Bombyx mori: one gene and its partner. The protein of the gene in region 2 purifies or fractionates together with the protein of the main gene of each other region. This does not show direct contact. Links are inferred from orthologs where the notes say so. Each region holds a gene or a part of one and is shown on either strand. Other genes may lie near its edges.

Region 1 (4,169 bases), on a different chromosome or scaffold from region 2:
CTACCAAGTGCAAGAGTTTCATCCAAGTGTAGTAAGAATTGTTTCATTGCCGGATCACTGAAAATGTCCAAGAAACGAGGTCTTAGTGCTGATGAAAAGAAGACCAGAATGCTTGAAATATTCCATCAAAGTCAAGATTTTTTTCAATTAAAGGTAACCTCATTAAATTACAACTTCATACATAGCTTTCGATGTCACTCTGCCCTAAACGATAAGATGCCAGATGTACTCATATTAAACAGTATTATTATAGCAATGTTTAAACCCAGCGGTTAGGTGCCAATTTTAGTAATGAACTTTGTAATTAAACATGTTTATAAATGACTTTCACAATAAATAATTAATGAAATCTGATAATACTGATGGGTGGCACATACATTGTGATGTCTGTTGACTCCAGTAACCTAATCACATACACCAGGGGTGGGTATTAAGCTCTTCCACTCAACTAAGCAATAAAATATATCTCTTATTTAGGATAAATGAGACAGTGTGAAATAGTGTCTGGAGTTTCTTACTTACTAGCAATGCAAGGTCGTTTTTTAATTAATTGAGAGCAAAGTAATAATAAATGAAGTTTTCACGAATGTTTACTCATCATTTGACTTACTTGGTAGGAGTCCAATTTCTTATTTGTTGGTGATCATGTTAGTTGAGTCACCAAATAGTCAATAATTAGTTCAAAAGAAAATGTTTAGACAGCACATAAAACAGAAGTGGCCATAACAAAATCTATTAAGATAATATTTTATATTTTAACTTTTACAGGAACTAGAAAAAATAGCACCAAAAGAAAAGGGTATTACAATGCAATCAGTTAAAGAAGTGATTCAGAGTCTAATTGATGATCACCTGGTTGATTCTGAAAAAATTGGGACTTCAGTGTACTTTTGGTCTTTCCCAAGGTACTATGTTAAACAACTAACTAAATAACTGGGAACAGAACAGTACATTATCATCTGGCGTCAAATCTGGCCTATTTCTGCCATTAAGCAGTTATTTATTTCGGTTTGAAGGGTGTTAGGTCATCATGCTGTTACAACTGAGACCTTAGAAATCTTGTCTCAAGGCAGGTGGCAGCATTTATGTTGTAATGTCTATGGGCTTCGGTTACCATGTAAAACCAGGTGGACTCATGTAAGCAGTAAAGCTGAATGAATAAATTTTTGCCCAATATGGGAATCGAATCCACAACTTTCGGCAGTCAGGGGTGCCAACTTTTGCACCACCGAGTCAGTCATTGACTAAGACTAGTTTTATTATTTTGAATAATAAAATTTACATGGACTTTACACACTGATGCTATGAGAAATTAAGAGTAAACAATTGTGCTTTTTAAAAATTTATGACTGCAAAATTATTTTTCAAATCAAGCAAGCTGTGGTAATGCCATGCAAACATTAAATAAATTACTTGTAGCAAAGCAAAAAGTACCAAGAAGAGGAAGCTACAAGAACTCCAGAATGAATTTGATGAATGTACGAAGAAGTTAAAGAAAACTGAGGAAGTCCTTATAGCAGAATCGGTCAGAATATTTATAGTTTTTTACTTAGTATAGTATAGTCTATAGAGTTATAATGAAACTTAATTCTATTCTATATTTATCAGAGACTGATATATTTATTAATTGACTTTAATATTAGAAAGGCAGAGAGATATCTGAAGAAAGAATAAAAATATTATCATCTTTAGAAGATCTTCAAAAGCAAGAGGCTTCATATAAGAGAGAATTACAAAAATACAGAGAATCTGATCCTGAATATATTGCACAACTGAGACGTGAAATAACTGTAAATCCAATTCTTATATTAATGTAGATGAGATGATGTCTTAAGGTCTATATTCCATTCAAGCTCATATTAGCGCCCCACTGTGAGCGCAATAGATAAGGCCAATGTCCCAAGTTTAAGGATTTAGTAATTGATGAATCAGTTCATGGCCTTTCTATAGTAGTATAGTATTTAGTGTTTCTGAAGTGTTAAGTAAGTTACTGAAGTTGATAGGTATCACAATGTGACTTCTGCTACCCACTTTAATATTGCACACATTAGATCAGTTACTATTATATTTCATAAAGGCCAAGTGAACTGATCAAACTGGAATGTGTATATTTTTTTTGGCAGATGTAGGCAGAATGACAAAACTGTATGAGCTTACAACTGGTAATGACTTTTAAGTCTAACATGTCTATTTCATGCTAGAAAATATATATTTTATTATTTGGTGGGTAATATTACTCAATATAACTTATCAGTATATTAATTAAGCATTGTATTCATTATTTAAAAATAAGGAAAACAAAGTACATTTAAAAAAATACTATGTTTTGATAAATAGCTTTCTGTAGGTGGTAGTATGTATAACCAAAGACATAACTATAATATTATCAAATAATAATATTGGATTAAAAATGTTTCATTTTGTAGGAATTGAAAACAGCCAGCAACAGATGGACAGAAAATGTATATATATTGAAATCTTATATAAAAAATAGTTTTCAAATAGATATTGATGCACTAGAAGAAAATTTTAACATACCTAAAGATATGGATTACATTGAATGAAGTTTTATATACAAGGCATTCCTCATAACCTAGGCCCAGAACATTAAATTTAAGTATGGGAAAAACCAAAGAAGAAATTCTTTGGCAAGTTAATATATTGTACGTAGTAAATTGATTAACTGATGTAATTTAAAATTCAAATCATTAAAGCACATTGTAACGATTCTAACTTTATCTGTAAGTTTGCATATGTAAAAGTAATATTTGTGAGAAATAAAAATAATAAATACCATTCAACGAGGACACCTTTCATTACATTCACCATGGTTCATTGTTTTAGAACTTGTCACTTTATGTAATAATTAATTGTAAATAAAGTATGTAGGTACCTATTTACTCCCTACTTTCAGTAGATACCATAGGTTATACAGAATACTATTACTATTATAAACTATTATTCATAGACTATACACTTAATATCTATTATTTATGGGTAAGTGTGGAAGGCTCATTACACTTTGCTAAATTTAGTCGGTGTAATAGCATTCAGTAAGTTAACCTGCTAAATTCAGTAGCAAGGATGGTTTCTGACTGACTAAATCATTTAGAAGCCTAATTAGAAACGCATATAAGAAGGTGTAATCGCATTTAGTTACTTAATGATTTCAGTCGTCCCATAGCTCTCCGTGCGTAAGGACGGCTTAGTTTGTTTTTTACTTCCGAATAAAAAGTATTTATTTCGCTCACCTTTATTAAATGTGCCAAACATTTATAAATAGCCCAACTTGTTTCAGGGATAATTTTTGTCAGAAGGGGTTGGGATATTATAAAGAACTAAAAATTAAATCTTGATACGAATTTCCTGTTGCAAGAAATCTTAATGTTACAACCAATCTTTCTTTTGGACTTATACTATCGTAGGATTAGATATGTAATAGTTATATAATATAGATATATAATAGACTATAGTAGTATCGTAGGATAGTATCCTGCTTTTGAAAAAAATTGTGCCACAAGGCTTAATATTTGGTCAAACGACCTCGAATCCATTCGTAGATCATTTCTGAAGTCTGCTGGTTCTAAATCATTCTTTTTTTTTTTTTTTTTTTTTTTTTTTTTTCCTGCCTAAGCTGAGAGCCTTGAGAGGCTATATCAGCGTAACCCTAACTTTTGTAGGTGAGCTCACGGGGCTCAAACCTGACGATGTTGCTAACACGAACCCTAGCAAGAGCCGTGCTTCGCAGAATCTACCACCGGATCGGAAACGCGACCCACTGAGAAGATCCGGCGAGAAACTCAGTGGGCTGTGTCTAAGAGTTAATTTACTCGTCGAGCCCTTCGTCGCAAGCGACGGGTTCGACGAGAACGGTGACCGGTGCTTGAAGTACCTAAAAGCACCGTTAGTGGATCGGGAGGATCCGAGATGACGTGTTTTGGGCGACGTCGACTGCTTTCCATTCTGTCCGCAGGATCGGGAATGTAGTTACCGGCGGCCACGATGAGAGGGTTCTCGTGTCGTGCCGCTTTATCGAAGTGGCGCATTGACGCCGACTGCATATACTTACTGGTGGACTCGAAGTCCAGGTCGTCATGGAGGTCGACGTTCCTGACGAACCACGGGGCTCCGACGGCTATCCTGCAAAAACGGGATTGAATGACTTGGAA
Region 2 (3,106 bases):
TAATACTACAAAGATTAAGGAAAATCATTTTTTTTCAGATTTGGAGTTCCACCACCCAAACGGGAATCGTTGTATACCTAACACTGAATACTTTGATACGATCACCAGAACCCAGCTGTGCGCGCAACTAACGTTATTAATTAGGAAATGACTGTTTAAATTGAGAAATATTGAATTTGCCTACTTTCCTAAAATACGCATTAAATTTGAAATTACTTTCTTTTTTATTAATTTCTCATTCGTGGACTTGTGCAAAACCTTTTTAATGTAGATATTTCTTGGCTGGAGTTTTGTCCCGCGATAAATAGTAAGCTTTCGTTCTTGTCATCAAAAGTAGTAAATCAAATCTATTTTTTAAAAAAACCTTCAAAAGGTAACACTTTTAACCCTTTTTTGGGGAGTCGTTCAACAATTTTCATTGTGGATTTAAATCTTTGTAGACAGAATTTTATGTGATTTGATGTTTACGGAACGAGTCAACTCTCATCTCACCGACTTAAAATTTAAATTTAAATTTCACCTCATAATATTGCCGAGAAAATAACCAGTAGACCTGTTTTTCTGAAAAAATAATAATTGGATTAATAAAATAAATAAAACAAAAAAATATCAATGATATATATTTTATAACTTAAAAGTCGATGCTCCAACATTTAACTCTTAGTTGTGTTACATTAAAACAACTGTTCTAATTTTTTTTAATGATAACGAATACTTTTAAAATGTCAAAAAAATGTTTCATTTGACTTTTTAAATAATTATTTTTAATAAAGCTTCAAGCTTTACCCATGTTTCCTTCAATGTCATATTCACAAAATTGTTTTATATAAAAATGTATTTTTTATTAACTTCGAAATTAATGTATTATATTAAAGTATTATTTAACTTGTCAAATTTATTCGACAACGTGACTTGTATTCAACTAATTCATTTAAAAATATCAGACTTGCTCCATTGTTAGTCTACAAGGCTATTTACAGTATTCAGTATAATTAGCTCACCGACGACTCTAAAATGTTTAAAGATGTGTTTAAAATAATGCAAATTATAAGAGAACATCAGTCGGTGAGCTTTATTAATCTTACCAAAATGTATTTAAATGCGCTCCAACGTTACGTAGAACGCACGTATCGTAAGAACTTGGAACTTAATATTTGTAAAATTTAATTATCTTGTAAGGTTGCCAAATACTTGCATTCACGGCAAATGCACACTTCAACTTAATTGATATTATTTTACATTACTTTACGCGGCGTACCACGTAGGTGAGAAATTTTTGAGAAATTTGTTTGTTGAAAAATATCCCGCTAAAACGTTTTAACAAGTTGTATATTGAAACATAAAAAAAAAAGATATATATACTTTATTATATATAATTTATATTAAATGCATCTTTATAGCGTTCTTATAAAACACTAAAATTTGTTTTGTTATTATATCGCTTTATACGTAGGGATCGTCGCTATTATTAATTATTATATTTTTAAAAAGATCAGTCAACTTTTTTACTCTTAGTCAACGACAACCTTTTAATAAAACATTCCAAGTGGTTCAATTATGACAAAGTCAACCATACATCTTTTATTTGTCTAAATTGCACTTAAATTATTGTACTAAATTGGAATAACATTAAAATTGTAGTCTTTTCGCTAGTGAGCCTCCATCAATGTTGTCCAGGAGTTTTCTTTTCAAAGACGGCTTTTCCACCTCTAGTTTTGAAATATTCGAAGGCATCGGTAACTTAGGGCCGACCGATGGCGCCGGTTTACTACTGCAATAGGCATAGAACTATTTAGTTTTACAAACATCCAAGAAATTTATCAATGCAGGACACATGATTAATAAAATATTTCATAAATTGTAATTAGAATTTGGAAAAGTCATTGTCGTATAAAAAAAACATATCGATCAGTTGTAGGTACTGTCATTTATAATAATTATACGCTTAAGTGAATGCACATGAATGTCTCTTCAGAGTATTTTTATATAAAGTAGACGGTGCTCAAGATGATTTCGTTACATTACTTATATTTACAGTTAATTATACACGTTAGTTTTATTTCACTAGGTTGGCAGCCCACAAGTGATTGCCGGAACCCACAGGTGTGACCCATCTCGCGACATGAAGACACAGTCGAAATGTAATATACTTTAGAAAGAATTATGGATTATAGGGTGCTTCACACATACAGAAATAGGCAAGACATAGGTAAAGATTCTTGCGAGCGATTTTCCTACCATCAATGATGTACAAACCTACATATAAAAGCGGATTTTGATTACACGAAATTTTTCCTGTTCTGTATCCTGAAGTTTTTCCTGAACTCGTTACAGCGATATATATTTTATTCGTTTGGAAAACTTGAAAACTGTTGTTGGTATGAACCCTATCATATTCGCATCAAGCGATACGAATACTGACCGAAATACCTAAGTTATTTTTTGCCCGCTGTATAGTACTTATTTATCAATGAAAATAGCTTACCTAAAATACGCCATTTGCAAGGCCTGCGTGCAATCACATCGATTTGGCGGGTACAGAGCTAAAAGGCTCTCCAATAAAAATATAAGATCTTCAGACGCCGCACTGAATATATGCCGTAGTTCTTGAGCGGGAAACAGCTTGAATTGCACATAATCTGTGAGAGTCTTCATACCCTGGAATAAGAGCGAGGAGTTTTCTATAGTGATCTCTCTGTAACTAACTGACTATGAACCCAAGGGCGGATCCAGCTTTGGCGCCAGGAGGGGGTCACATAGTCAAATATTCGATGTGTTCATTCCGCCATCATACAAAGTTATTGTATTATATTAAATTAATTAAATATTGAAGGTATGCAGTTACAAAAAATCTGTATGGTGACAAAATATATAAATAAAATCATTATGTTCAATTAGTGGTTCACCTAAGTCTTGGAAGCAGCTCAGGGGGGGGTCATGACCCCCATGACCCCCCCCCCCCGGATCCGCCTTTGTATGAACCTACCTATCCTACTAATTGTGATTTTTTTAACAAGTTTAACGTGATCTACATTAGCGATATCGCGTTTTAACTTGATATGCGCATTATCCTGTATACCCTGTATACACAGTTAAAACAGTTCTA

Evidence for each region. The genes of interacting proteins can lie anywhere in the genome.
Region 1: the proteins of Cdk7 (region 2) and general transcription factor IIH subunit 5 purify together in Homo sapiens (affinity purification with mass spectrometry; 7 studies listed by BioGRID and IntAct, with this or other methods). This does not show direct contact. The link is inferred for Bombyx mori from reciprocal best matches to the Homo sapiens genes CDK7 and GTF2H5.

Annotation. Positions count from the first base shown.
Region 1 is NC_085109.1:11,979,650-11,983,818, reverse strand, and holds the start of general transcription factor IIH subunit 5, read right to left. Parts: upstream 2,957-4,169; 5' UTR 2,830-2,956; coding exon 2,795-2,829; exon of another isoform or gene 2,565-2,794; coding exon of another isoform or gene 2,427-2,564; intron 1,791-2,426; coding exon of another isoform or gene 1,644-1,790; intron 1,526-1,643; coding exon of another isoform or gene 1,420-1,525; intron 906-1,419; coding exon of another isoform or gene 769-905; intron 154-768; coding exon of another isoform or gene 64-153; exon of another isoform or gene 58-63; coding exon 1-57. Other genes in the region: meiotic nuclear division protein 1 homolog, read left to right, coding at 64-153, 769-905, 1,420-1,525, 1,644-1,790, 2,427-2,564. UniProt on the Homo sapiens protein: Component of the general transcription and DNA repair factor IIH (TFIIH) core complex, which is involved in general and transcription-coupled nucleotide excision repair (NER) of damaged DNA and, when complexed to CAK, in RNA transcription by RNA polymerase II.
Region 2 is NC_085127.1:9,225,703-9,228,808, reverse strand, and holds the end of Cdk7 (cyclin dependent kinase 7), read right to left. Parts: intron 2,659-3,106; coding exon 2,486-2,658; intron 1,772-2,485; coding exon 1,630-1,771; 3' UTR 605-1,629; downstream 1-604. Other genes in the region: tubulin polyglutamylase TTLL13, read left to right, coding at 39-151. UniProt on the Homo sapiens protein: Serine/threonine kinase involved in cell cycle control and in RNA polymerase II-mediated RNA transcription. Cyclin-dependent kinases (CDKs) are activated by the binding to a cyclin and mediate the progression through the cell cycle.